Linked DNA regions of Mus musculus. The protein of the gene in region 3 interacts with the protein of the main gene of each other region in a pairwise test. Links are inferred from orthologs where the notes say so. Each region holds a gene or a part of one and is shown on either strand. Other genes may lie near its edges. The genes, in order: Wdyhv1, Nudt18, Rabac1, Ric8a, Spg21, Dusp12 and Syt16.

Evidence for each region.
Region 1: the proteins of Rabac1 (region 3) and Wdyhv1 interact in binary tests that used the Homo sapiens proteins (3 or more experiments, as listed by UniProt). The two-hybrid records come from large-scale screens. The link is inferred for Mus musculus from reciprocal best matches to the Homo sapiens genes RABAC1 and NTAQ1.
Region 2: the proteins of Rabac1 (region 3) and Nudt18 interact in binary tests that used the Homo sapiens proteins (3 or more experiments, as listed by UniProt). The two-hybrid records come from large-scale screens. The link is inferred for Mus musculus from reciprocal best matches to the Homo sapiens genes RABAC1 and NUDT18.
Region 4: the proteins of Rabac1 (region 3) and Ric8a interact in binary tests that used the Homo sapiens proteins (3 or more experiments, as listed by UniProt). The link is inferred for Mus musculus from reciprocal best matches to the Homo sapiens genes RABAC1 and RIC8A.
Region 5: the proteins of Rabac1 (region 3) and Spg21 interact in binary tests that used the Homo sapiens proteins (3 or more experiments, as listed by UniProt). The two-hybrid records come from large-scale screens. The link is inferred for Mus musculus from reciprocal best matches to the Homo sapiens genes RABAC1 and SPG21.
Region 6: the proteins of Rabac1 (region 3) and Dusp12 interact in binary tests that used the Homo sapiens proteins (3 or more experiments, as listed by UniProt). The two-hybrid records come from large-scale screens. The link is inferred for Mus musculus from reciprocal best matches to the Homo sapiens genes RABAC1 and DUSP12.
Region 7: the proteins of Rabac1 (region 3) and Syt16 interact in binary tests that used the Homo sapiens proteins (3 or more experiments, as listed by UniProt). The link is inferred for Mus musculus from reciprocal best matches to the Homo sapiens genes RABAC1 and SYT16.

Annotation. Positions count from the first base shown.
Region 1 is NC_000081.6:58,140,014-58,144,165, reverse strand, and holds the start of Wdyhv1 (protein N-terminal glutamine amidohydrolase), read right to left. Parts: upstream 2,801-4,152; 5' UTR 2,674-2,800; coding exon 2,585-2,673; intron 959-2,584; exon of another isoform or gene 897-958; intron 1-896. UniProt on the Homo sapiens protein: Mediates the side-chain deamidation of N-terminal glutamine residues to glutamate, an important step in N-end rule pathway of protein degradation.
Region 2 is NC_000080.6:70,576,620-70,580,623, reverse strand, and holds the start of Nudt18 (8-oxo-dGDP phosphatase NUDT18), read right to left. Parts: upstream 2,801-4,004; 5' UTR 2,676-2,800; coding exon 2,514-2,675; exon of another isoform or gene 2,117-2,513; intron 1,713-2,116; coding exon 1,499-1,712; intron 1,291-1,498; coding exon 695-1,290; 3' UTR 1-694. UniProt on the Homo sapiens protein: Mediates the hydrolysis of oxidized nucleoside diphosphate derivatives. Hydrolyzes 8-oxo-7,8-dihydroguanine (8-oxo-Gua)-containing deoxyribo- and ribonucleoside diphosphates to the monophosphates. Hydrolyzes 8-oxo-dGDP and 8-oxo-GDP with the same efficiencies.
Region 3 is NC_000073.6:24,969,929-24,974,205, forward strand, and holds the start of Rabac1 (prenylated Rab acceptor protein 1), read right to left. Parts: upstream 2,801-4,277; 5' UTR 2,655-2,800; coding exon 2,599-2,654; intron 2,387-2,598; coding exon 2,174-2,386; intron 1,931-2,173; coding exon 1,833-1,930; intron 261-1,832; coding exon 159-260; intron 148-158; exon of another isoform or gene 82-147; coding exon 1-81. UniProt on the Homo sapiens protein: General Rab protein regulator required for vesicle formation from the Golgi complex. May control vesicle docking and fusion by mediating the action of Rab GTPases to the SNARE complexes.
Region 4 is NC_000073.6:140,856,059-140,860,196, reverse strand, and holds the start of Ric8a (synembryn-A), read right to left. Parts: upstream 2,801-4,138; 5' UTR 2,727-2,800; coding exon 2,643-2,726; intron 2,353-2,642; coding exon 2,305-2,352; intron 2,216-2,304; coding exon 1,625-2,215; intron 1,335-1,624; coding exon 1,243-1,334; intron 759-1,242; coding exon 608-758; intron 1-607. Other genes in the region: Bet1l (BET1-like protein), read left to right, coding at 3,958-3,976.
Region 5 is NC_000075.6:65,459,635-65,463,736, reverse strand, and holds the start of Spg21 (maspardin), read right to left. Parts: upstream 2,801-4,102; 5' UTR 2,583-2,800; intron 1,037-2,582; exon of another isoform or gene 833-1,036; intron 1-832. UniProt on the Homo sapiens protein: May play a role as a negative regulatory factor in CD4-dependent T-cell activation.
Region 6 is NC_000067.6:170,882,741-170,886,695, reverse strand, and holds the start of Dusp12 (dual specificity protein phosphatase 12), read left to right. Parts: upstream 1-1,155; 5' UTR 1,156-1,288; coding exon 1,289-1,629; intron 1,630-3,955. UniProt on the Homo sapiens protein: Dual specificity phosphatase; can dephosphorylate both phosphotyrosine and phosphoserine or phosphothreonine residues. Can dephosphorylate glucokinase (in vitro).
Region 7 is NC_000078.6:73,996,600-74,000,576, reverse strand, and holds the start of Syt16 (synaptotagmin-16), read right to left. Parts: upstream 2,801-3,977; 5' UTR 2,727-2,800; coding exon of another isoform or gene 2,714-2,726; intron 1-2,713. UniProt on the Homo sapiens protein: May be involved in the trafficking and exocytosis of secretory vesicles in non-neuronal tissues. Is Ca(2+)-independent.

The DNA.
Region 1 (4,152 bases), on a different chromosome or scaffold from region 3:
TGCTTGCTTGTATAATTATGGACATTTTTTCACACTCCTCAGAGGAATGCCCTCCTCCCAGTTAACATCAATGACTCCATGAGAATCTGAGACAGCATGAGTCCAGAAAACGAAGGTGTGGCTAATGTCTCAGCAAAATGGTAAATACTGTGACCCTCAGGACAGCCCTTAAGGCTGTGGGAAAGAGCTCTAAATACATGAGTTTGAAAATATATAATTTCTCAACTATGCAAAAACATAAGGATGCAATATGAATTGTATAAGGAGTTTCACAGATCTAAATAGACAAGAGGCAGCTACTCTATATGACACAGATTTCTGAGTTCAAGCCTGGAACAGATCAAATTTAGGTCCAGGAGTGGTCAGAATGGTAATCTCCGGACAAGGTCCCAACTAGCTAAATTTACAAAAGCAGCCAGATCTCTGAATTCTTTTACAATGCTAAAAAAAGGGGGAGAAAATCTGCTTGTAGTCTCCTAAGAATTAAGGGCCTGGGGTCACAGGATTCATAGGATAATCAAAGGGGAACCTGGAGGTTGAGAACAGCTCTTCAAGAATTTTCTTTTTTCTTTCTTTCTTCCCGCCCTCCCCCACACCCTCCCAGGGTTTCTCTCAGTAGCCCTGGCTGTCCTGGAACTCTGTAGACCAGGCTGGCCTTGAACTCAGAAATCCGCCTGCCTCTGCCTCCCAAGTGCAGGGATCAAAGGCGTGCGCCACCAAGCCCGGCTAAGAATTTTTTTCTAACAGGATTTGGAACATGGTGGGACAATGTAAGGAGGGCGACCACAGCTCTTTCAGATCTTTTCTTAGCTCTTTTAGAATTTTCTCTAATAAGATTTACTGACACAGCTCTGTTAGCATGTCTCCTAGCAGCTAAACAGAAAAAGCTGGCAGAAGAGTGAACACAGCTCTTTTAGAATTTTTTTTCTGGCTTTCTGATTTTGATCAGAAAACCCAAGAATTACTTTTTGAGTATTTCTAACAGGATTTCTGACTTGGTCAGCAAACCCATGAGCTATCCAAAGAGCTTTTAGAACTTTTAATAGCAGAGAGAGCTGTCTTGAGCAGAAAGCTAGCTGTTTCAACCAAAAAGTTTTCAGAATAGCAAGAAAAAGCTGTCTCAAGCAGACACAGAGAGAGCAGTCTAGAAAGCCACATCAGCGGAACATAGACCACCAGCATGGACCAACAATTTGACTTCAAGTAGTTTTCACTGCTCCCAAACACCCCTTCTTTCAGAAACCCGGTCCCAGCTGAGGCCAGTCCTTGGCACTGCCAGGAAATTTATCTACCTTGTTTACTGCTCTATCCTCTGTGCATAGAATCAACCAACATACATTTCACATCCCTACGAAATATTTACTAAATAAATGGAAGACACAGAGTAAATGTTCCAGATAAAAACTAGCAGGATTTGGAAACCAGGCGGAGCAGATCTATAATGCAACAGCTAAAAAAGAAGGACTCCCAACCACCATGTAGACTCCAGATCTCATTCCACTTAGTTGTGTGGTCTGGGACAAACCACAACCATTCTATAGTTCAGCCTTTGTAGTGTCAATAATTACCACAGAACCTGTCTCCAAGACATCGCTCTACCACCCCCTGTTCTCAATCTGTGGGTCATGGCGTTGAATATCAGATATTTACACTACGATTCTTAACAGTAGCAAAATTAGTTGTGAAATAGCAACGAAGTTTTTACAGCTGTGGGTCACCACAACAAGAAGATCTGTATTAAAGGGTCACAGCCCTGGAAGATTGAGAACCAGGGCAAGCACTTGGACTTGAGCTAAAGTGGTCACTGGTCAGTCACAGCTGAATGCTAAGTTCTTAGAGTCCTTGTTTGAGTGACCAGCTAGAGTTGAGAGGAGTCTATTTAAATGATCCTGAGGTTTCTCCTGAGTTGGGATAGCAGTCCCTACACAAAAGGAAGATGAGGCCTAGGGACAAAAAAGGCAAGGTGAACGGTGTTTGCACAAGCAGCCTAGGACACTAACCTCACAATCCCGGGGCCTTGTGTAAAACAGCAGCACACCCTTCAGTACCTCAGAGTTCTTCCAAGCTGCAATCACACCAGTACCTACCTCTTGGGATTACTGTGAGGTTCAACTGAGTTAATTTACACCATGCACGCAAAACAATGCCTAGCATATGGCAAGGATGGTGCAAATGCAACCATTATCATATGGCCAGTAAGGTAATGCCAGTAAGGTAATCAGGGTAGCCAGTTGCCTGAACTGGATTTCCTACTACCACAAATTCTGTGTCTCCATTGTCTTTAAAATTATAAAGACGTATACTTCAACCTGAATCAATGCAGACTTCAACAGTTACCATTGGGTCTCCAGCCTAACTCCCCTCCCTCCCTTGTCCCTATGCACTAAGACGCCCCGACTTCACCCCACTGCTCAGGCTCAGCTAAGGAGACCAGAAATGCGTTCCCCACCCTCCTCATCCCGGCGCTAAACCCGGGCAGTGTAGGCCAGCAGCAGCACTCAGGGGAGCATCCAGGAGAGGGGCGCATTGGTGGCGGCGCGCGAAACCGCGCAGATTCCCGGGGTCCGCGCCCGCGCTCTCTCACCAATAGCAGCTGTTGTAGACACATGCGTCCCGCGTAGGACAGACCGGCTGGTACTGCGGGGCCGTGGCGGCGGGGCCGTCCCCCTCCATGACCCGAAGCTGTGGCTCACAGGTCAACTAAACAACCCGCTGGCCGCAATTGTCGCCAGTCTCCCAGGAGGAGAGGACAACAGAGTAGGCGGCCAGGACAGTTTCCGGGTGGGAGAGCCGAGAGCCGGGTGGGCGGGGCCCCGTGCAGCGTGAGGGCGGAGCCCGGGATGACGAAGCCTGCGTGGTTCCGGGTGGGCGGGGCCTGAGAGAATGAGTGGGATCTGAGGGGGGTGGGGGTGGGGCGAGGCTGGTGGAGAGGGGGCTGGGAATGCGAATCTTAGGATGACTTGAACTGTGTAGTTCTTGCCAGGTTTTGCGTGGTGGGTGGAGCCTGTGGCAGAGCGGGATGCACTTAGAGGCTTCCCTCTCGCCCCGCCCCCCCCACCACCCGGACCCCAAACCGAACCTGTTCTTGAGCTACGCTGCGTAGACCTAGTCGCCCTCCCATGGAGGGATTGCTTGTGTTGTTGCCAGTGTTTAGATATGAGCTTCCGGATACACTTAAAACTCCAGCTAAGGTTGCCCGCTGTGTGAAACCAGAAGAAACTCTAAACTAAGAGATGCTTGGGCACGCACGAAAGCTGAACCTTTAGAGCAGGAACTGAGAAAGAAAGGCGAACGGGGGGGGGGGGGGGGGGTGTTAGTGCAGTGCACCCAGATCTCACCATATTGTAATTTAATTTCTTCTCATCTGGATCTCTCTCCCTCTCCGTGTGTGTGTGTGTATTTTAAAGAAAAAAAGTTTTAACCAGGTGTGGTGACAGACACCTAAAGTCCTTGCATGCAGGAGACTGAAGCAGGAGGATTGCTTCTAATGCAAGGTGATCCTAGACTACAAAAGAATTTTTCTTTTAAAAAAAAAAAGATTTAAAGAGTCTGGATAGCATTTTGTGTTAATCATATTTATTTTCAAAAGAGAAGACACCAAATTGCTAAAACAGTGTTTATGCATAGTGAATTAAAGACATAGAGAACTGTCTCTATAGACATCCCAGTCTCCTGTGTGTGCCTTAAGTGCTCAGAGAACCTCCCTGCAAACGCTGGACTTCTTAAGATTAGATTATAGGCCACCCACAGACTCTCAGCCTTCTGAGACCCCAACCCCATAAAGTGCTGTGCTGGTGGTATTCTGGTGAACTTCAGCTGCTGTCCAAAACCCATAAATCCTACAAACTAAACATGTGTTTGTGTCTGTTACCAATTTATTGTTTCAGCTTGAATACTCCCTTCAACAGAGGCTGGGAGGCAGGGAGTGGCAGTCATGAAGCCTCTCTTGGTTAGTACAAAGTGAGTGTGAAGTTAAGCTTTCTCAGTAGAAGGATGGAAAGAGATTGCAAGGGAAAGAGGATCCCTGCAGTTTCTAGAAGGGACCAGAGCTAGTTGTGTGATCATCCTGCCCTCCAGTGGAGTCAGCTCTGGACAGACACCAGAACTTGGGGAAGCCTGCTTGCAGTTGTGTGTGGACAGCAATGGCCTTCT
Region 2 (4,004 bases), on a different chromosome or scaffold from region 3:
GCTCAAAGAGAAAAAGACTGGCAGAGGCCAACGTGTCATCCTCAGCTCTTTCTTGTTCCCTAGGCAGTTTCACCAGACCGAACCGTTCAACACCTGGACAGGTCTGAGCTGTGCTTTTATTAGGGGTGTGGTCACTTCAAAGTCCCACGCCCGCCCTGACAGGACAGGAACACTAAAAAGAGCCTGGGTGGGTCGAGGCTTCAGCGAGCATCGATGTCTGCCTCAGGATCCTTACATCCCTGCATAGCATCAGTGTGTACACGGTGAGGAAAGACCTGGGTGACTGTGGGTGGGACAGTGCCCCATATCCTCCCCACACAGACATTTAGGCAAGCAGGCAGGTTAAGCAATACCTTTTTACTCAGCAATGAGGACTCTGCCCTGAGGGATGCGTCCCCCATGTCCCATCCCTCTCTACATTCCTATGGGGTTGGAAGGATTGACATGCAGCCTTTTCCAAAGTGGACAAAGATGGTGCCATTTAGGGTTCAAAAAGTTCCTCACCAACTTAAAAGACAAGTACTGTGTGCCCTCAGAACTGAGCCCTTGAAAAGTGGATTCAAGACACCCTCCCTTTGGGCTCAATGTGTGGTCCCTGCCCCCTCAAAATGTGCAATGAGATCCCTGACTGCCAGCCTTTTCTCTGCCTCAGAGGGAGGGGGCAGCTCAGCTTTTGGTCCCTGCTGGAATCTCTCTATCTGCTCAGGGGGATCACAGAAGATTCCTGGAGTCTGTACAGAAGCAGTTTTTGTAAATCTTCCTCTAATACCTTCCACCAAAAGTAGTTTTCACCCCGAATCTTTGGGGGCTCGTCTTGGATTCCTGGGTTCCGAAAAGCCACGGTCACCAGCACATTCAGGCAGACACCATCCACATGGTCTCTGCCTAGGTGTTGCAACCCAAGCAACCCCTTGGTCTCCACTGCCAAACTGTGCAGAGTCAGACACTCCTGTAGGAGCCTCAAGATGGCCACCTTGATGCCGCCCCTTTGTTCCATAGGGGTAAAGCCACAGGCAGTGATGGGCAAGTGAGGTGTCCCCACCGTGCCCACCAACACCCACACCGACTGGACTGTTGTGAAGGTGGTCACCAGCCGTTGGCAGACCACACTGCAGGGGAGCTCTTGAGGCAGAATGAGAGGGTGCATGGCTTGTTGGCAGAATTTGGCGCCTAGCTCTACCAGGTGCAGAACATCATGGGCTCTAAGCGGTGTGGGCAGGGAGACCCGTGGGTACCAGCCGGCCTGGAGGGACTCAGAATCAGCATCTTTGGAAGTCTTGAGAACTCCGCCTAGGAGAGATTTGGGGGGTGGGGTGGGAAGAGGGCCAGTATGAGAAGGGTTGAGCCTGAGAGAGTAAATGGCCACCCCAACACTCCAGAGAGAGAGAGACCCCCAAAAGCTCTTAGCCCGTAGTAGGTCAATGGCCATAAGCAGAAGCCCACAGTATGGCTGGCTATGGATGAGGGACCGTGAGAAATGTCACTAGGTGGGGGATACCTGTTGGTCGAGCGAGGAACACAAAGCGGATCCAGGAGGCGCCCCTCTCCTCCACGGACAGCAGTGTCACTGGCTCACAGAGCAGCCCTGCCTCCTCCTTCACCTCCCGCTGCATGGCCTCCACGATGGTTTCTCCTGGTTCCATTCTTCCTGCAGGGAGGTACCATGTCCCCCGGCATTCCCTCTTGGCCTCCTGTATCATCAACACCTCATCCTGGGAGGGAGGGAAGTGAGACAATCTTCACTCCTACCCAGCCAGTCTGGGGGCTTCAGAAGAGTAGCCCCTACCTGGATGGCAGCCCAAAGCTCCCTTCTTGGTAGACAGACACCTTTAGGATGCTGGATCCTCAGGAGTCAGGCCCTGATATGGCTGAAAGCAGTGGCTGTCTCCGCTTTGCTGTAACTCAAACCCAGAGGGACTTCTGTTGTAGAAAGGGGCTGAGGACCTTGGGCGTTGCTCTAGGAGGCTTCCTCCTGAAGGTTGCCACCACTCCTATACTGACTCATTTATGCCACTGTCTTGCTCTTGTTCCCATGGGACTTACAAACCGCCTGTGTCAAGTCCTCAATCTAGGGTCTGAGGCTTTGAAACTTAGCTCCACCCCTATACCAACCTACCCCTTCTTGGCCAGGATTTTATAACGCTGACTTGTGCAGAAGTGATCACTAAAAAGAACTCTCACAGGATCGGAGGCCTGCATGTAAGCTCCCCATTACTCTCCCGAGGCGCCGGGAGAGTCTAGACTCCTGGAAAGGAAGGGGGCATATTACAGGCCTCTCCTGGTGGGGGGCGAGGTCTAGTGGATGAGATAAACCGCCCCGGGACCTCGGCTTCTCCTTCCATATTATAGAGTCTACAGAAGGACGATCTCAGCTCAGCTGCTAGTGTTGAGAGTGCTTTGCAACATTGGGAAGCGCCACATACAGGCAGCGGCCGTTGGCTCGCCTGTTCAGATCAGGGCAGGCGGCACGCTCCCGAGACCAGCCGAAGGCCAGCGGCCGGTCGGACGCTCACCTGCTCGTTGAGGAACACGGCCAGCACCACGTAGCAGACATTCTTCCGCAGCCGCACGGGAAACAGCGGCTTCCCAGCCGGCTCCGAGTCACAGCTCTGCACCAGCAACCCCTTTCCCCCCAGCACGGTGGCAAGCGCCCCTGCCAGGCCCTCCGTGGCCATCAAGTCTCCGGGGAGGTGGCAAGCCGGGACCTGCCAGACCCCCGGAGGCAAGCGGCCGGGACCTGAGCTGCGGTGGGCCGCGGCGCCCTCGCCCCCTCCCCTGACTTGAGGGCCAAGACTAACACGGAACCTCCGGGAGAGACCTGGTCGCTGATAGGCTGCGCGTCACTGCGGCCTGCCCGGATTGGCCAGCTCGCAGCGGTTATCGGGAGGGCGGGGCGCCGGGATCCTCCCTCTGCCCCCTCCTCTCCTGGGTTTCAGCCTCACTTCACACTCTCCCTAGCGATTAGCTAATTCACCCAGCACGCACTTGTCCGCGCGGGTTCCGACGGTGATGTCATCCTGCCTGTAGGGTGATGAACACCACTGTGACCAGGGTCGATGGCGTCACTCGTCCGATGACATTACGGAAGCCCAGACTCCGCCGTTCGCTCCCACTGTCCAGCTTTTATCATAAACGAACCACAGAAGTGCTCACGACGAATAGGCCCCAAATAACTTTCTGACTTCGTTAAAATGCTCTGAATGTGGTATGGCTCAGGCACATAACGTTGCGTTAGAAATTCTGATCTGTCTAGGTCGATGGACACAGGGCATTTTAAGAGTCCGAGGCTAAAGGATTGGTTTGGGGGTGGGGTGGGGGATGGGGAACGTGATTGACAAGCCTCAGAGGAGGGATGGGACAGGTGGTCAAGGTGGGACAAGGCTGGGGATGAGAAGAAGCTAAGGGGGGGGGGGATGAATGAAAGGGAGATTGAAGTCAGCACTGTAGCCTGCATCCGATCCTGTGCCCAATGCTTTTCCCAGGCTTCTGAAACAGACTCCATCTTTAGAGGGCAGGGGTGGTGCCCTCCTACCCAGCGTCCAGGGCCTGGTCATGAGGAACAGGGTGTGGGTTGTTTTGGCCAGCTCCTGCTTCTCTCCCAGCCTGACCTTTCTTCCTCTGAGCTTCTTTAACCTCCACTCAGGACAGGAAGGCAGGGCCAGCTGAGAGGAATCCACAAAGCAGGCCAAGTCTGGGCTCCTCACCCCATCCCAGACTTCCCTTTCCTCCCCCACTGCTGGCTCTGTGTACCTCCTTTGGGGGACAGTGGCTTGATGGTACTGACAAAGCTCTGGAGTTTAAAAGCCAGACATCCAGCCTCTGCTGACTGACGTGCTCTGTGCCCTGGGTGGCCTCAATGTCCTCATCTGTACAGTAGGTCTGTAACAGCCCTCCTTTTCCATACTTGTTGAGAAGCCAAGAGAGCTTGGGAGAAGCCATGCACTATCTGAACACCGTCACCAGGCAGCCCACCTGTTCTCCAGGTAGGGTCTCAAAGCCATAGT
Region 3 (4,277 bases):
GTTCCATCTGCAGCTCCTCGCCATCTGCAGGCTCCATCTGGTGGAAGGCAGCGTGGGAGCCTATGAGTACCAGCGTGGCTCCTGTAGGGGGATGGGTGGTTCAGGCTGTGCTCTTTCGCCTGGCTCCCAGCCTCACCCTACACAGACCCTGTACTCACCCAGGACCCAGAAGACAGCAGAGCCAGCACCGGCCAGCCAGAAGAAGGGGAAAGAGACGCCACCAGCCAGGGCATACTGATGTGCTGGGCTCACCTCCCGGCCTGGGAACAGATGGTGTAAGGTAGCCGTTCCCACCCGACCCTTTCCCACAAGTGTCCAGGGTCACTTTCCACCCATCTAGTGTCACAGACTCTGGAACCTTCCATGTAATAATACAGACTCCTCACATCAGTGTCTCCCATACCTGGCCCCTACCCTGCCTCCCCAAAGCCCCCTGTCCCCATAACAACCTTCCTCTGCCCCACCTCTGCTGTCTAGCTTCACCTCTCCCAGGAGCCCTCAGGTCACTTCAGACTAGGGCCTGATGTTCCACCCTGGTCACCGGGAGTCTCAGGCTGGTGGCTCCACAGTCAAATCTGACCTAAGGATTTTTGTCCCCTTTTTTCCTTTGTTAAGATTTATTTCTTTGAATTGTGTGTATATGCCCTGCACGCATACGTGCCCAAGATCAGGTGCCCATGAGGAGGTGGCCATGGGCACCCACCTGACTTGGGTGCTTGGAACCAAACCAAGAACAGTACTCAACTGAGTACTCAACTGCTGAACCATCTCTCTAGGCACTTATTTTGATTTTTTTTTTTTTTTGACAGGGTTTCTCTGTGTAGCCCTGGCTGTCCTGGAACTCACTTTGTAGACCAGGCTGGCCTCAAACTCAGAAATCCGCCTGCCTCTGCCTCCCGAGTGCTGGGATCAAAGGCATGCGCCACCACCGCCCGGCTAGGCTTATCCTGAACTTGTAGCAATCCTCCTGTTTTAGCTTCCCAAGTGCTGGGATTAGAGGCACAGGCCAGCTTCTGGTTTTAAGGATGTGTTCTTTGATGCACCTTGCGAGAATTTGGTTTGTGGGGGCTGGAGAAGGTGACTCAGGAGTTAAAAGCACGTATTCTTCCAGAGGGCCCGCATTACACATTTTTTAAGGCTAGGGCATAGCAACACACTCTTTAAACCCTAGTACATATATATTAATTTCCTCCACCCCCGCCCCACGCTCTCCTATGCCTGAAAAGTGTGTATGTCCTAGTGACCACTACCTGCAGAAGCCAAGTTCTGACCTGCTTCAGTCTATTTCTTTGCCACAGCCTATCTTTGTTTGGTCCTTAAGCTTGCTGGGCTATGAAAGACTTATTTTAAGTCTCCTCGGAAACTTTTGGATTCCCCTCATTGGGTCTTCCCTGACACCTTTCTTTCCAGTGGTCCTGGTGACAGTCTGGGGCCACCGGACTTACAGATCTCAGCCTTCCCCTCTGAGAATCATCAGGGCCAAGACTTGGGAAGGAACACGGATCTAGGCCTGCATGAGGTCGCCACCTGGTGTGCAGTGTGGGTATCTGCAGCTGATGCGTTCCGTGGGGGGGGGGGGGGGGGGTTGAGTGGAATTGGATTAAGTCATTTACAAGAGACAGAGGTGCCAGGGCTTTGGGGTCTCTCTGGGTTTGGGAAGCTGAGACTGGAGGGGAGCACCTGGTGGGTCTAAGCCCTTAAAGACCAAGTTAAGTGACTCTAGTGGACAGCTCGGTGGGGGCCGTCTTGGGTCCCAACTATTCGGAAGTTTGCATTCCGTGAGACCACGATCAGAAAGGCCCGAGGAGCCATTTGGGCAGGAGATTTCTTACCAAAGAGTACAAGCTTAGACTGCAACGTGCGCAGATAGAGAATGTAACAGGCGCCAAAGAAGACAGCCAGAGCCACCAGCAGCATGGGAGATGTCACCCTGGAAGAGTGTGGGAGACAGGAGTTAGGTATCCGAGGCTGCGTCAGCCAGGCCCCTCTAGCTTTGGACACAGACTGAGGTTACGTCCTTCTAGGCCAGCGAAGGCCACATCCTGGTCAGGTGAATGCAGGAGTACAGACTGACCGGGTCCTGTAGTGACAAAGTGGGCTAACTGGTCTGGGCGGGGCCTGGCAGCCGGGGGCGGGGTCTGACTATCGAGGGCGGGGCCGCAGAGGCACTCACACGCAGTACAGGATGAGGCCGAGAAACACGAACACGTAGTTGCTTTGATAATACTCCACGTTGCGTACCAGGCGCTGGCAAAGCTCTCCCACATTGCGGGGTCGCGAGAAACGTTGCTGGTCCACGAAGGTGCCCCAGGGCCGGATGGTCGCCCGGCGCCGCTCCAGCCACTCTCGGCCTGCGCCGGATGGAATCAGCTTGGGCAGCAGGGTCCTAATGGGCAGGGCAGAGCAGAGCAGCTGAAGGGAGGGAGAGGGTAGAATCTGGACCCCAGATTCTAGCACACCTGGTCCCAAGCATGACCTTGAACCCCTAGGAGGAAGGGTCCTGAGAGGGAGCCAACAGGACTGAGTCCCTCCCAGGACCTCTGAGGAGATGAGGGACTCCTGCATCTCGGATCTGGGGGTAACACCCTGCTTGCTCACGTGGCGCTCAGCCCTTCCCCTTCGGCATCCTTCTGCTGGTCCTTCTGGGCCGCCATGTCTGCACTGCAGTGGATAGAACCGCTGTAAATAGCCCGGAGCCCAGCAGCACCTAGGCGGCCCCACCCCAGCCGGGACTCTTTGGAAGTGGCGTCGTTGGGAGCTCTAGAGGGCGGTAGTTGTTCCTCCAAGCATTGTGGGTGTTGTAGTCATCGTGGCGTCAAGAGGCAGGTTTGCCTCGCAAGACATCTTGGGAGATGTATGCTAAGAGCTCGTCGGGAGCCTCTAGGCATTGTGGGAATTGTAGTTTCAGGAGGCTCAGCGTGGACTACAGCAGGTGGACTGTCAGGACAGAGGATTTTGTGGGAGTTCGAATGGCAGAAACGTACTTCCGTGGACCGTGCAGAGCTGTCGTTCTGGCTCGAGAGAGCTTAATAAAACATTGTTCGAAAACTCAGATATTCTGATTCTAACTGGGCAAGTCTGGGAAAGAGTTCATTTACTTTTTCTTTCCTAAAAGTATTTACTTTGAAAGTGAGACAGGAGAGATGGCTTACTTGTTTCTCTTTCAAAGGATCATAGCTTGGTTCCCAGCATCCACACCCAGTGCTTCACAACTGCCCGAAACTCCAGCTCTAGCCAATCAGACATACTCATGTGCACATACCCACACTCAGATACACATGATTTAAAAATAAATGTTTGCATTTTAAAAGAAAAGATTTACTTTTATATGTTTATGCGTGTGTGCCACCAGAAGAGGGTTTTAGAGCTCCTGGAACTGGAGTTACAGGCAATTATGAGCTGTCTAGAAATCATGGGTGCTGGGAACGGAACTCCTCCGGGTTGGGATTTCAGTATGGGCCACTCAGCAGGAAATTGTGTCTGGGTTTCCCACTTGGGGTCCAGCATTGCTTCAGATCAGTGGAGGACTGCAAATGTACAGTTAGCCTAAAGACTAAAGAGGGACACCACAAGGCCAGAGTACTGGAAAAGACAGAGAACCTTGGAAACCAGTTTGGCGGCAAAAGTCAGCTGGGTTTGACTGCTATGGGAACCAATTCAGTTTCTTTAAGAGGACTAAGCAAATTCTTTCTATTTCATGACCCTCAAGTCTCTGCTGCCCTGGTGGGAGTCGGGGCTTCGGGAGAAGGCAGTGGAGAAGGCAGTGGGATCCAGAGGCAACACTGTTGCAGAAAGTGGCAAACTAATTCAAAGAATGTAAGAAATTTGAATACTGGGATTTTTAGGATAGGTGTCTGGAAGCTGGGAAAGGAGTCCTTTGGGACAGTGGAAGCGAGGACCCTGAGGTAGAGATGTGATGAGGCAGGGGGTACTTTCAGGTTCCTGAGGGAGGAGGCTCACGTTAGATGGGTTTTGAGTCAGTAGGTAGTAGGAGACATCCGAGAAGGCTGTGGGAGATGGGACTTGGCTCTGAGCTCTTTCCTGTGCTTCCCAGAGCAAGTGGCACTGGGAAAAAGCCAGAAGATATTAACAGGAACTCGAGACCTTGATCATAATGCCGGCTGCATGACTTCAAGGGGCCTCCCCCACTTCTGTCCTGTGCTGAGTCCCTCTGTCAAAGCGGATGCTCCTTCCTGGTGCTAGGTGATTGAAGCAGAGTATGTGGGTGTCCCAGGAGAGGTCTTGGCCCATGCAACTCCTCCCTCCCAGGATCGTCT
Region 4 (4,138 bases), about 120 Mb from region 3:
TTGTGGTTATGCCTCTTTAAGATGCAGAGGGACAGCTGGGGGGTGGGGGTGGGGTGACGGTGGTATCGGTACACATCTTTAATCCCAGCACTCAGGGGACAGAGGCAGACAGATCTCTGTGAGTCTGAGGCCAGCCTGGTCTACAGAGTGAGTTCCAGGACAGCCAGAGTTACACAGAGAAACCCTGTCTTGAAAACAAAACAAAACAAAACAAAACCAAAAAAATGCAGAGGGACAATGTCGCCTCTGGCTGCCCATGTATAGAAACACGAGGAGCCTGACGGTTGGAAGCGGGAACTAAAGGCTTCTGAGAACCACTTAGCAGAGCCACAGAGACCTAAGGGCTACCTTTCACCTTGGGACCCGAGAAGCTTGCTCTCCTCTGGTAATCAGCAGCAGGAGGGCTCACACACACAGTGTATCTGCAGGCTTCTGCGAGGGCCTGACTGAGCGGCCACCGTCTAGCTGCACCACAGAGCAGTCAGAGCAACTGTCCACGATATATCGTCAAGCTGAGTTCTACTCGCCAGTACCAATGGTTCAGAAACAGCAGTCACAACAGGTGCCCGAGCCCCTGGGTGTCCACGTAGCAGGCCCCCAGTCCTACCTGGTGCAGACGTTTCTCTAGGAAGGCGAGGAGGGCACTGATCACATCCATGTTAACTCCCATGAACTCTAAGGATCCTTCGTGGAGCTCCAGGGCCAGAAGCACATCCAAACACTTGAGGGGCAAGTTCCCCAGGAGATTCACCGTGTGGCTGGGGACAGACACACAGAGGCCTCGACACAGTAATTATATTTAGCACAGATACACTCCCTGGCCCTTCTCCTGGGGTACACATGGATGGGCTCGAAGGGTTGCACTGAAAGCAATAGACTATAGGCAAGGGCAGGTGGTACCCCAACTCAAATTTGGTGGGGAGATTCTGCAGACGCTATCTGGGCCATTATGTCTGAGCTGAGATGCCAAACAATCTCTCGAACCTGAGATGAGCAGAGGCACCAGCAAGAGACCATACTGCCTCCGCCTAAGGCCCTGTCTCTAAGTTCATAGCTCTTCTCTTAGCCATACCTGAGTTACCTAGGCTCTCTGGAAACAACACTGGTGCCCCATTCCCCTGATGAAGTCAAAGGTGGGGCCTGGGCCCCCAAGTGCTTCTGATTCACAACTAGGGTTAAGGACTTCTGTACCCATACCTAGGAACTCTTGCCGTCCCCAACATTGTGAGCCCTACCCCTCACCCGTGGAACTCCTCTGTGCGGTCCCCAGCAGCTTCAACCATCACGCAGTGCCGCAGAAGAGTCCCCAGGTACCGGTAAAGGGCAGCATCTTCCTAACCAAAGACAGAAAGGGGCTCCTGTGAGATCGAACCCCTGTTCTTGTGGCCACATGGAGTTGATCCCTAGACGCTGTGCACAGCACATGTGGTGCTTTTGGCCACCTGAAGCACTGTGGAGAATACCCACCTGCAACCCCATGCACAGTGCGGCTCAGGCACCTTCCCTGAGTTCCCGCCTACACCATCCTCTAGTCCTCGCCATATCTGATACCCTGCAAGCTGAGGTACAAAGGGAAGCAAACTGTCCCACCCGAACTGAGTCTCAGCCAAGACTTCCAACCTACCTCATCAACTTCCCTCTTGACAGAGTCAAAGGTGATATTAAAGAGCACTTTGAGGATCTCCATGGCCCTCTCCGTCTCTTGGGCTGGAAGCATCACCGGAGGGTTTTCTTTGGGGGCCACGCCCAGTGTTAGTTCCAGCGCATCAGTCAGCAGGCGTACACCGTGCAGCTCCTGAAACAGTTGCTGGCGCACATCCGTGCGAAGGGCTGTTAGCAGGAAAAGGAGCCTCAAGTCAAAGAACTGGACTTCGTGGGGATAGCTCCTCTTGCGGTACAGTCCCACACGCTCCGCTAGCCTCACCACCAGGCGAGCCTCTGCTGCTAGCATCTGTGCTGTTGGACTGCTGAGCACAAGATTACACAGGCATTTGAGAGACTCGAGGAGGACATCCATGTCTGGGGACTGTGGGATGGGTTCCTCTGAGACGGTAATGTCAGCATAGCAGGCTAGTGCATGTAAGCTCTGGCGGCTGGCAAATGAGTCCAGGCAGCTGCGGTCTCGGGATAGGATTCGGATAGTCTGCAGCCAGGTGACACGGTGCTTTGGTGACAAGCCCTGCTCCAGGACGGAGACCAGTAGCTTTGCGAGTCTCTGTGGGGTCGAACAAAAGTGGTTCCACTAGGCCCTCTTCTTGGGGTCAGCCCGTGCCTGCCCTAGGAGCCCTTGGGGCTGACACCTACCTTCCTGTCCTCCTGCTGGGCATCATCGAAGGTGAAGCTCTGAGAATGCTGCAGGGAGACCCAGGAGGCTCAGATCCACATGCAGGTAGGACCCGTGCTCCTCGAGTCAGAGCAGACCTCTGAAGCAGCATCCATCGCTCTGAACCTTAAGGCAAGGCCCACCCTAGCCTCCCATACACCTGCCCCACCACACGCCACCACAGAGCCACCCGAGGGACCAGCCCACCACCCACCGCCGTGCTCCCTGCCACCACTCGCACGCACACCCCAGCCGAGTTGCGCGCACACCCCTGCTTCCTCTCTTCCTGAAATTTCCTCGGCAGCCGGATGCCTCTCACCTCCCGGTTGAACGACCGCAGAGCTTCTGTCACCGCATCTTCCTCTCCGGTCTCCAAGGCATCCGCAACTGCCCGGGGCTCCATGGCCCCTGGCACCGGGTGCTGGAAGGCTTGGGCTGGGAAGACGCAATCGGCCAAACCCCGGGGCTCCGCCCAGGTCCGGAAGCCCGGCGTCCACGCGTGAGGGATGCTGGGAGAGCAGCCGAACCCAAGGGTGTGTACAGGCGCCTCCGACTTAAGGTGGAGCAACCCGGCTGTGGTCGCTGAGCGGCTAGTCTTGGAGCGGCGATGCTAGCTAACCAGCCAGGCAGTGTCCTCCTTTTGAGCCCTCCTCTCTAGCCCGAGTTCCTGGCAGGCGGGGGGTGGGGTGGGATGGGAGGGTGGGGAGTGGGGTGTGGCTTGGCCCGCGCGTGGACCGTCCTCTTTACGCTCTTGTCCCCGTACTGTGATAAAAAAGGGAGCGCCGGCTCCTGGCCGCTTAATCAGTTGGGGAAGACGATTCTCGCGATCCAGGCCTTGGAGCTCATCTTCCATAGGGAATAGGGAAAGAGAAGTACAACGACTTGGATGGTCAAAATAATGCACGTGGTTAGCCGGGCATAGTGACGCACGCCTTCTTAAATCCCAGCACTCGAGAGGCAGAAACTAGCAGACCTATCTAAAAAGAATAGCCACCAAAGTAATACGGTTATTCTCAAGAAAATTGCAGAGAAGGAAGTGAAGAACACCCGTGGAAAAGCCACTCCCGCGAGAGGAGCAACGGAGGGGCGGCCAGCCGAGGCGTGTCTGAGGTTAGAAGCGTAGGAGCGCTGTGTAGCGGGGAGCCAGGTCCGCACGCCACTTAGCTGAGTCGGTGCCCCACAGTGACACATACAAACAGTGCTCCAGTGGATGATGTCACCCGCCGTGCTAACCGGCTCTGCCCCTACTCAGTGGCAGGCCCCGGCCGTCTCCTTCACCAGTCTCTTTCGGGTCTGCCTGTCCTCCCCATCCAGTTGGATTTAGCAGCGCCAGAGGCATCCGACTGATTTACTGAGCTGGTTCCTAGCCTCTGCTCCAAATTTGGGTCTGAACACCTGCTCCGAGTAACACCCACAGCGCAGGACTAATATTGCTGACCAATCCGTGGGTCCGAATGCTGGTGGCCCGCCCTTCCCTTATTTACATTCCCGAGAAGCACTCCAGGTCTGTTTCTTCCGCTTCAGAACCTTCTCCCGGAAGTTATTAGCCCGGAGGCGGAACCGGAAGACCCGGGTACTGGTGCCACGTCCGTTGCTGTGCTGCGAATTCCCTGAGTGGGACCCTGGAGGGCGCGATGGCAGATTGGACTCGAGGTGAGAGCACTTGAAAGGCAGTAGAGGTAGGAGGGGAAGTCTAAGTCTGGAGCTGGAGACATCGCTCGTTTCTCGGTGGAAGGACCTGCGTGGGGTGGCGCTTACGTATCCCTGGAAAAACAGGGCCGGATTTCGCCTGGCGCTGCCTTGGAACCCAAGCCG
Region 5 (4,102 bases), on a different chromosome or scaffold from region 3:
ATGAACTAACCAGTACCCCCAGAGCTCGTGTCTCTAGCTGCATATGTAGCAGAGAATGGCCTAGTCCGCCATCAATGGGAGGAGAGGACCTAGGTCTTTCGAAGAGTCTATGCCCCAGTATAGGGAAATTTCAGGGCCAGGAAGTAGGAGTGGGTGGGTTGGGGAGCAGGGGGAGGGTATAGGTGATTTTTGGAGAGGGGATAGCATTTAAAATGTAAATAAAGAAAACATCTAATTAAAAAACAAAAAAAAAAACTAAGCCATTTAAACCATTTTTAGCACATCTTTCACCATTTAAAACTGCTTTATTTGATAGCTTCATACATTTATGTAGTACATTTTAGTTAATTTAACTCTCCTGTCTCCCTTTAAGTTATTACTTTAAAATAAAAGCAACTAGCGGCATATACAGTTAATCCTGGAATATTTTATATCAGGACAGACTTGAAATACCACCACAGCATCTGTGCACTTCCAACTGGAAACATTTTCTAGAATGTCTGCAGGAGGGAATATTAAAGACAGGCTAAACAGCCAGGTGTGATGGCACACATCTTTAATCCTAGCCCTCAGGGGCGGACAGCTAGCTCTCTGGGAGTTCAAGGCCATCCTGGTCTACATAGTGAGTTCCAGGCCAGCCAGAGCTATGCAGTAATAGTAAGACCCTGTCTCAAACACACAAAGCTAAAACATCAATCAACTTGTTAAAGTTTACTTCTAGGATCGACCAACTTACAAAAAAAAAAAAAATTATCCACAGTTTTAATAAGATGCCACTCACAAACCAAACTAGGTACAAGCACACAGGCAGGCACACAAATGAGCTACCTACTTCTTTCCCACAGTGGCCGAAGGGTAGTCCTTACCGGGTCTTCAGTATAACTCACAAGCAGCTCAGTACTGACCACATTGTAACTAATCTTGATGCATAAGAGTTCCTACACAGCTGTGAGGACACTTTTGCAAGGACAGGTGATTCTAACACTTGTGCTGGTTGGGTGGTGAGGAAAGGTGAGACAGTTACCAAATGTTGCCAAATGTTGCGTAGGACCAGCTGACGGCTAGGAAGAAAAAAAAAAAAAAAAACCTGCTGCAAAGCTAAAGCAGCTGTGAAGGGTATGAAAAGGAAAGTTTGTTCTAGCTCTCTTTCATCCACTTAAGCCGGATGCTTTTCCAAGTCACAAGAGAAACATTCTTAAAAAAAAAAAAAAAAAAAAAAAAAAAAAAAAATCTGTGGCCCAGAAAGTTAGCTGAGACTGTGACCAAACTGGTCAGGATGAAAAGAAACATGGGCAGTGTGTTCAGGACAGATTTGCTTTCTCGTGACTCTGTTCTTTACAAAAAACAGAAGCACCTGTTCAGGCTGGTGAGGAAAGAGGCAGAGATAAGCTTTATCAAGGAAACCCCTCCTCCCGCTGGCCAGGATGCTAAGGCTCCCCAGCTCTTCTTGGACCTTGCGTTGCTGGACAGTAAGTTGGCTAGTTGTGAGAGAGCATGTACTTGGCCTTCAGAGTTTCAACAGAACCTGCAGTTCATAGCTGAGGAAATCGCCTCTACAAATGTTTAACACACGGTCAGTCACATATTGCTGGTCCTTTATCTCAATGTATAGGTGTCTTATATAGGGACAATCTGTGGTTGTTAATACAACCAATTAAAAAGGTTATTAGAACTAGAGAGCCTCTAGGTGACATAACTATGGTTCTCGGTGTTGGGGAACGCTCACCATGGGCTTTTACCACTGAACTACACCTAAGGCCCTGCGGCGGGCTGTTCACTACACATCTTCATCCTTCACCACACCTATATGTATTAAATAGCCATCTTTTTGGAGATTTCTTCAGGTAAGATTTATCCTTTCTCCAGGAACCTATCCACTTCTCTCTAAATATCATGAGAGGAGACGCTGCCCGCACATCTTTCTCTCTGACCACTCGTTTCAAGGTTCTGGTGTAAAATCTTTTTGAAAACTCATACACAGCTATTAGACGGCTTCCCAATGTGCAGAATCCTTGCAAAAAGAGAAGCTAGACCACTGCAGATGGAGACAAAACAACATCAGCCCCTAACTTCTAACTCCCTGGGAAAAGAAGAAAAAAGGGGGGGGGGGTTTCTCTCGCCCTGCTACACTCTTCATGACTCTTTCACAGGCCTCACACCTAGTCTGAGGTAGGATCTTTAAAACAACTCTACTCGCAGCCCTTAAAAGTTGACTGAAACCAAAATGCTCCTGAATTTCTGCCCCAGGATGGGTGGCTCAAGAAAATGAGGATGTCTGACTAAGGATTTTGGGCACCAATCGCCATAGGGGCCGCCCTGGGTTCCACCAGTTCAGAAACAACAACAATCCGCAATGAACCGAGGCTGAACCTTAGACAGACCCACAGGCACAATCGGACACACACAGGCGCCCGCGAGAGCGCACCACACGCACACACAGAGATATGGATCACGTGCATGGTCACAAGGACCTGCCCACTCGTGAACTCTGCTCGTAAGTCACGCATGCTCGATACACGCCCACCTACAACCCTACACGCACCACACACCCACACTCTTGCTTTCCAGGGCCTGCCCCTCACCTGCCGTGGCCGCTCCCGCGTCCCTTTCTTTCCAGCCTAGACGGATCTTCGCCCCGATTTGGGCGCAGAGGATGGAGTCGGCGGGGCGCGGACTGGACCGGCGGCCGCAGATCAGGAGCCCCGCGGGAGCAGCGGGCAGAGGGGGCGCGCGGCCGAGCAGCCAGAGGCCACCGCCTCCCAGCTTTGGTACTGCGAGCTCCCCGGGCGCGCCTCCCGCTTCCGGGTTCCGAGGAGGCGGGACCAGATGGCGAGGAAGGGGCGGGGCTCTGGTGGTTACTATGGCGACGGGGCTGGCAAGGGAGGCCCTGTTCTGAGATTTGCGGTGTCCTAGAGGCTGTGGAGGCTGGTGGTGGATAAGGGTCAGTTCTTGGTCACTTCTGACAGGAGCATGGAGGAGGAAGTGAAAAATCTAGGCTGTAGGCCCCGGGGATGTGCTTCTGACTTCGGTTTTTAGGCGTCTTCATGCTTTGGTGGGGAGACACTTTTGGTCCATAGCTTTGGTGAATAGGCCTTGACATAGTCTTTTTAAAACATTAGTATATATCAGTTCATTACAATGGCTTAATTAGGACATTTTGATACCTATATAAAGAATTTGGATCATCACCCTCCCTTAGTCTCTGCCTCCCATGTCCCATTCCCCTTCAGCCTCCCAACTGCATATGCTTTCTCAGCAAAATTGTTTTTACCTTTTGTATAGACGCTGTCCTCTGACCTCCTTTCAAAGCCTTGTCTCCTTTTATGGCTTTGTGCTGATGTTGAGGGGGTATACTCAGCGCTGGTTTGCCCTCTTCTGTCAGGCACAGTCTAGTCACTGTTCTTACGAGAGATGTGGCAGATGCCACAACACCTTTCAGTTAGCTTACAGCTTTGCTCTGAAATAATGCATAATAATATTGAGTGACCTGTCAATCTTGTTTGAAAATTTGTAAGGTTCCTAAAGCAAGATCCTAATGTTTTAGGGACTTTTAAAAATATTTTTTATTATTATTACTTTTAATCGTGTGTGTGTTTGTGGGAGAGAGAATATATGGTGCACATGAGTGTAGTTTATAAGGAGGGCAGAGGAGGATCCTAGAGCTGGCATTACAAGTGTTTGTGAGTTGCCTAACACGGGTGTAAAAGTAATATGTATTCTTAACCTCTGAGCAATCTCTCAGCCCCCACGTGTGTGTGTGTGTGTGTGCGTGTCCCTGTGCCTGTGCATGTACGTGTGCGTGTGTGTGTGTGCGTGTGCCTGTACGTGTGTGTGTGCGTGTGTGTGTGTGTGTGTGTACGTGTGTGTGTTGATGCCTGCTGAGGCCAGCTTTGGACCCCCTGGAGCTGGAACTGCAGATGATTAAGATGGATCAAGCCTGACTGGGTACTAGGAACTCAGCTTTGGTCCTCTGGAAGAGCAGTAAGTTTGTTAACCACCAAACCATCTCTCCAGGCCTAGAGAGCACAGACGAAAACAATGACTCAAAAAAACAAAAACAAAACCACAAAACAACCAAACACTGATCTATGGCTCAGGAGTC
Region 6 (3,955 bases), on a different chromosome or scaffold from region 3:
ATAGAGAACTAAGATCAATGGAGAGCTAAGATCAATAGAGGAGACTTTTTTGCCTTTCCCCACTTAGACTAGATTCTTTTCCCTTTCCCCACTTAGAGAATTTTTCCCTTTACCCACTCAGGATCTTTCTGCTTTTCCCCTTAGATAGCTTTCATAGGAAACTTTTTACAACTTGGTAATAAACTCTATAATTATTTATCTAAGTGTCTTCTCTTCCTGAGACCGGACTAGCAGGCTGAAAGTTAGAGCCCAGCAGTTCCTGCTGAGATAGACATATCTATCTATCTCTCTTGTGGCTTGAAGAAGAGGTGCTAGTTGCCAGAAACTGTAGTTTCTGGCCTCAGAGGATCACAGAAGGCAGATCAGCTACAACAGCACGGTAACTTAGGCTTAGATAAGTAAACGCTTTATTATACAGCATCCCTAAATATCTCAACAAAGTCCTACCCTCCGCCTAAGCTCTTCCCTCTCTACCCCAAAAGCCTCAAGAAGAACATCCCACTCCAGAGCTGCCCCCATCTCTCCCTCTCCCTCCCTCCCTCACTTCTCTTTCTGCCGCCACCTCCCTCCCATCCCCCAATAAAATTCTTACACGTGGAACTGTTTGGGCCCAGTGTACTGTGTTCAGACTCGAGCCTCTATTTTAACACATCAGTTATCACAGCTAATATCCACATATAAGCTTATACATACCAGATTTGTCTTTCAGGGTCTGGGTTACCTCACTCAGAATGATTTTTTTTTCCCGAGTTTCATCCATTTATCTGCAAATTTTATTTTTTTTTTTTAAAATGGCTGAGTAATACCTTATTGTGTGAATGTACCACATTTTCTTTATTCAGTCTTCTGTTGTACATCTAGGTTGTTTCCAATTTCTGGCTATTATGAGGCATCAATAGGCAACATGGTTGGGCAAATGTCTCAAATGGTAGGAAGAGTGGCTTTGCTGGATCTTGAGATAGATTCCCATTTTCCTGAGGAACCTCCAAGCTGATTTCCATAGTGACTGTACAAGTTTGTGGTCCTACCAGCAACGGATGAATGGAGACTTTATTTTTCTGCCTTGGACTTTAGAAGGTTGGGTGGAAAAGCTGCTCTAAATGGAGCTTATTTAAGCACACAGCCCGAGCACGGCTCACATCACCTTCCCCAGAAGCAGTCATTTTCCCTATTGCCATGGTCCTCCCACGGCGCTGCTGAGCGGCTGGAGCTATTCCGACACAGGAGTCAGTCACTCTAGCCGGTGACTTGGTGGCGGGCAGCGGCTGCCTGGCTTCCTGGCTCTGCCATGTTGGAAGCGCAGGGTTCTAACCATGGCTGCGAGCGCCAGGCTCCGACTGCCAGTCCCGCCAGCTCGGCAGGGCACGCCGTGGAAGTGCGGCCCGGGCTGTATCTGGGTGGGGCAGCGGCAGTGGCGGAACCGGGCCATCTGAGGGAGGCGGGCATCACCGCCGTGCTGACGGTGGACTCTGAACCGGCTTTCCCGGCTGGGGCTGGGTTCGAAGGTCTCCGGAGCCTCTTCGTGCCGGCGCTGGACAAACCCGAGACCGACCTGCTCAGCCACCTGGATCGCTGCGTGGCCTTCATCGGCCAGGCTCGCTCCGAAGGCCGCGCGGTGTTGGTGCACTGGTGAGTGCCACGTGCAGGGGGGCGGTGCCTTGCACCGGGTCTCGCCTCTCTGCAGAGGCGCCCAAAAGTGGAGGTTCCAGGCTGTCAGAGCCAAGACCCTCGTTCCTCATCTTCCCTTGGGGTGTGTGGTTCCAATGAGGGTTCCAAAACCCGCCCTTGGTTAGTGTTTTGTTTGATTTCATCTTGCAGCAACTGTCTGTCTGTCTGTGCATCCATCTATCCGTCCATTCGTCCATCGTTCTATCTGCTTGTCTATATTTTGGGGGTTAGGTTAAAGTTTATCAGATTTGTAAGAGAAGTCAGACACTCAAGCCGGCGAATGTAATACAGGTCAGATGTATTGGGGTGAAAATACGTGATACTTCCTCGCCCTAAAGGCCACTGTGATTAACAAGGGAAAAACATGTGACTTTTTGTTTTTTGAGACTGGGTCTTACTGTATAGATCTGGCAGGCCTGGAACTCGCTATGTAGAGCAGGCTGGCTTCAAAAAGCACAGATGTCCACCTGCTTCTGTCCAGAGGGCTGCACACCTTGAGTGTGAAACCATGCTGGAGGATTTTTAATCAAAGTTATACGTGACGGGCAAGTTTAGAGAAACATTCACGGACCAAAGGAAAACTGTACTGACTGGTTTTGTGAGTCAACTTGATACAGGCTGGAGTTATCACAGAGAAAGGAGCTTCAGTTGGGGAAGTGCCTCCATGAGATCCAGCTGTGGGGCATTTTCTCAATTAGTGATCAAGGTCCCACCCACCTGGGCTGGTAGTCTTGGGTTCTATAAGAAAGCAAGCCAGGGAAAGCAAGCCAGTAAGGAACATCCCTCCATGGCCTCTGCATCAGCTCCTGCTTCCTGACCTGCTTGGGTTCCAGTCCCGACTTCCTTGGTGATGAACAGCAGCATGGAAGTGTAAGCTGAATAAACCCTTTCCTCCCCAACTTGCTTCTTGGTCATGATGTTTGTGCAGGAATAGAAACCCTGACTAAGACAAAAACGGTTCACATTCTTGGAATAATTAAGACTGGACAGTTGTATAGAAAAGTGATTGAGGCTGGGCGGTGGTGGCGCACGCCTTTAATCCCAGCACTGGGGAGGCAGAGGCAGAGGCAGGCGGACTTCTGAGTTCGAGGCCAGCCTGGTCTACAAAGTGAGTTCCAGGACAGCCAGGGCTATACAGAGAAACCCTGCCTCGGAAACAAAAACAAACCAAAAAACCAAAAATGAAATAAAATAAAAAATAAAGAAAGAAAAAAAAAAGAGGTTGGACAAGAGGAGTGTGACATAATGCTTAGCGAATGAGCCAGGAAAGTCAGCCTGACCTGTATTGAGCTGTTTCTTCTGGTGTATAGGCAAAGCCCTTTCTGGAATTATTGTCTTAGGATATATCAGACTAAATAGATCCGAGAATTGATTTGTCTTGCTAGCATGTTAGGCAAACATTCTGTTACTGTGGCGGCATAGCCCTAATCTTAAGAGAATGCCTTTGTGGCGGGTTCTTAGTAAGGTGGAGGAAAGTTAGAGTGATATTTTTCTCTCCATATTTTTGTTGTTTTTGTTTTTGAGATGGAAGGTTTGCTGTGTAGTCCAGACAGTCTCTTAAGCTTGCGGTCCTCCTGCATCTGCCTCCTAGTGCTGGTGTTATTACACATAAGCTACTTACGACTTCTGGAGTTTGTGCTTAGGATTGAAGAAGAGGTCTTCTAACCTCTCTGTCTTGCCCTAGGGTGAGTGGGGAGAGAGAGAAGCAAAAGCACGAATACTGAGATCTGGAGAGACTCCAACGTTAAGAGCAAAGGACCTTGGACCTTGGATTTGTCCTGTAGCCACTACATTTTTTTTTTTTTAAATGTACACAGAACGGTCAAAAAGTGTGGTTAGCTACTAAGCCCAACCTGATAGATCACAGGCTCTGATTCTTTCTCCCAGAAATCAGGTCATCCCTCAGCCCCCTGCAGCTCTCTGGGGCAGGAAGTTGACAGATGTCAGTTGTGACCTTACTCTCTTACAGGCCTCTTTCTCCCATCAGCACCTGTGAGCCTGACTAGGTCAGCACTACCCCCTTGCCCCCAGTCTCCAGATAACATTGATTTATAACTCTACTTTTATATAGTGTACTTCTGCCTTATGACTCTTGGCTTGGAGGCCAGCCTGGATAGGTCACCTATTGTGGAGCTTGCCTCCCTCCAAGGAAACAGTAAGAGTCAGAAATTCCACTTGTCTCCTGGAACTGAAGTCTCTTTCTCTTTGGAAACATATAAACATACATTCACACCCATACGTATATATATAGTCATATAAATATAACATATCTATGTAGTATATAGTT
Region 7 (3,977 bases), on a different chromosome or scaffold from region 3:
GAGACTGCCTGCCTGTGGGTTAGCAGCAATCGGCTTCTAAATGGACCAGGCAACGGTGACTCATGAGCATCCATGCAATGGACCAGGAACAACCCAAGCAATCCAGAGAAACTCCTTAAGATACAGAATACTTACTGCAACACCTCTGGAGATCCAGCAGCCCAAGGATTGCCCGAGACTTCTGGGGGCACACTTCAGTTAGCTATCTCCAACCACTCAAAGCATGCCTGCTGTCCTGGAGAGTTTACTCTTTTTATTTCTTTTTTTTTTTTTTTAGTAATATTCTATTTACTCAAGACTTTCATACAATGTGTCTTGAATGTTTTTCTTTTTTAAAGATTTATTTTTGAAAATTATATGTGTCTGTGTGTTTATGAGGGGGTATTTTCAGAGACCCTCAGAGACCAGACAAGGGTGTTGAAACCCCTGGAGTTGGAGTTACAGGTGACTGTGAGCCACCCAAAATGTATGCTGGAAGTTAAACTTGGATCCTTGAGAAGAGCAGAATACACACTTAGTTGAAGTGCAATCTCTCCAGCCCCTTGAGAAAATGCATGCTTAAAGATAGATTATAGACACACACCCCCCATGTGCACTCATGAGCATGCACATATAAAAAGGCACCTTCAAAACAACCAGGCAACAGTGATTCAAAAGTGAAGATCCTTGATAAAAAGTATTGATAATGCAACAAATGCCACACAGGAAAGACAAATAGAAACTACTTGGAACAAAATTACCCATTACCTCAAACATAGCTCAAAATACCTCTGAGTAGCACCATTTACAACGCACACCTAGGCGCGTAACCATTTCATAATAACTTACTGGAAACCAACTGAGTATCCCAACTTCTCTTGAAACTGCCCTTCAATCTATGACTTTGCGTCTGGACACAGGACAGTCTCTCCGAGTTCTCATCCTTTTTGTGTGTAAAGACTGTTTTCCAGACAAATATATATATAAATACCTCTGTGTCCTACCTATACTCACAAGCTATAATCACAGAGAAGCTTCCTTGGGATCCCTTCCAAGAACGACAGAGCACAACAGGCTGCCCTCTGCCTGGCTTTACAGCTGGGTTTTCCCTCAAGGAGAAATGTAAGGAGGCGAGAACCCCGAAACAAAAGCAATCAGGCAACATCGAGGCAGATTGTACCCAGGTTTGATGCATCTTAGTGAGGCCATCTCCTCACTGTGTGATGGTGTTCCCCGTCCCCCTGCCTCTCACCTGACATCCCCTTACCTGAAGAACTGAAGATAGAAATTCTGTATCGCTGGAACTCTTTAGTTACCATTTACACAAATAAGGGCAAGTGCAATTGTTTCTTTGTTAATAAAAATCTAAATGTATAGCTTCTTCCCCCTAGACCTACCTAATGTGTATACTTTTGTCCATAGAAGCAGAGCTGAGAGCAAAAAGGGTTGTCTCTAGTAGTTAATTTTGTGCCACCCCCTGATCTACAGAAAGCAGAGAGGGTCCATTGGTGTCGCCACACAAACGAAATGATGGCGAATGGGAGATGAGTGAGCAACCACACACATGTCCATTTCTCTTGCATGCCTACTACTTATGAGATAGATACCCATCACTTTCCCGGGTATGGCAGGCTCACTACGCATGTGTATACACATAATCTACACATACATATACTTTTTTTGAAACAGGGTTTGTAACTTGATATCCTCCTGCCTCAGCCGCTCAAGTCCTGGGATTACTGACTTGAGCCTTTAAATCCAACAGCCACAGTTTTAAGGTTGGGAACAGGGCCACAATCCCACTACTGAGGGACTTGGGATATAAAAATGTCATCATAGCTTTTAACTCGAAACTGTGCATCCTCTGTACTGTATGCAAGCTGTGTTCTTGACTGAATAATGATAAGTTTGAAGGAAAAAATAATGAAATTTTGACCCTCAACACCTATTTTGTCCCCTCTCATCTCTCAAAATTGCCTTATTATTGTCTGTAATCACATGGTACATTCAGTGAATGAAGTCCCTACTGTGTGCCATGACTTTTGCTGAGGACTTTAGATGCTAAGTCTAAGACAAGTGTTGTGACTTATTTTACTCTGCACTCCTTTTGAGGTTCCACTAACAGGTCAAGCTACAGCTACATGTAACCAGTTTTCTTAGCGGTAACCCTAATTTCCAAAAACAGCAGCAAAGACTCCAAGATGCCAACAGCAGGCCAGCCTGAAGCCTTGCAACTCTTCCAGTCTTCGGTGTCAACCTTCCTTCTCTGCACGCCCCTTTCATTCACTCTCCATGGCAGCCAGGCAAGGTCTGTGGCTTCAGAGCCCCAGAACAGAGCCCAGTGGGGCCACCCACCAGGAAGAGGGCGTGCCAATCTGACCCAGAACTCCAGGAAAACCTTGAACTCACAGCGCCCCAATACTGGGCTCCCTAAAAACTGGCTGTGGGCCTGGAGGCAGTCCCCAAAGGGCTGCGAGGCCCAGCCCTGCTGCCTTCAAGCATCAAGTGTCCCCTCCAGTCGGGTGCTGCATCCCTCCTGAGAGGTCCTCGGATCCCCAACCCTATCCAGTCCTGTCAGCCATAGCAGGTGATGGGCACGGTAACAAGGGCGGGCTCCGGAGATGGGGTACCCGGTCGCTGCCCCCGCGAGCTGGGCACAAAGGCAGGCGCGCGCGGGAGGAGAACTTGCCACCCCGGATGCCTTGCCCCCGCCCCCGGGGAACCCCGCACTTACTGTCAGTCGCCATGGTCGCGTCGGGGGGTTGCAGGGCGGCCGCCCGCGGCTGGGGTACCCACGCCGCGCCCGGCCGCGCGCGTTCTCGACAGGCCCCGCGCGCTCGAGGGCCGCGACGCGCACAGACGCTCCCGCCGCGCGCCCCCGTCGCGCCGCCCCGAGCCCCGTGGTGGCTGCCAGCTGGGTCGCCCCCGCCAGCGTCCCCACACCCTAGCGGAGCCGACCGCCACCGAACCTGCCCTGCCCAGCCCGTAGCATCATCCCTCCCTAAGACAAAGCAGCTAGCAACCTGGCCCGCTCCTCTCCAGGTTTCTTGCCCGCTCTATTCTCCCGCTGAACAAACACTTGGTATCCTGCCTTGCTTTTTTCAATTCATCCGGGCCTGGTGCTTCTTTCCAGCAATGTCGACCCTGAGCCCTAGCTCAAAGGAGCAAAGCAGGGAGCAGGTGGGGGAGAGAGAAGCAAGGATCACACAGGTGCCTCCTGTGTGTGAGGACCAAGACTCCTCTCATCCTCTTGTTTTGTCTCCAAGGTGAAAATAGAGCCTTGTGTGTAGTAGGCTATCAGATCTCTATTAAGCGACTTAATGGAGGACTCTAACTGGAAACCTGCGTGAATTAATGAGTTAGTGAATAAATGGCCAATTAACTAATTAGATGTGAACAGGATGGGTGACTAACGAGTGGATAATTGCGAGCCAGACCACAGGCGGCTCCGATGACTTGTATTAAAGGACCAGCTCCACGAGAAAAGCAATCAGTATTGCCTCAAGGACCATCGCGGTTAAAAGGACTTTGAAATGAGTCCACCTGTGGGCGTTTGTTCGCAGTACATCTTGTTGAATGCTATAAACCAATTACTGAAAGATCCTTGCTATATTTAGGGACCAGTAGCAAATGAGAAACCACCACCACATGGGGAAGCATCAAGTGGCTCAAACTCAAAGCCTAAGCACGGGAAGGCATTGGGTTTTTGTTTTTCGTTGTTGTTTGTGCAGGCACGATGCCTTTGGTCGGCTTGAGGCCACTCATTTAACCCAAACAGTAAGGATGCCAGTGGGCGTCATCTCAGGCATCGCTGGGCACCAACAGAATTCAGGTGCAAAGCAGAATCAGAAACAGTTGCCGTCTGACCAGGTGGGCAAAGGAAAATACCGGAAAACAACAAAAGGGTCCTCTCTGATCAGTCCACAGGATGTAGGTGAGGGAGTCAGCACGATGAGGGTGAACCGCATCCACATTCTGCTGGCTGCGGCTTTCATTTT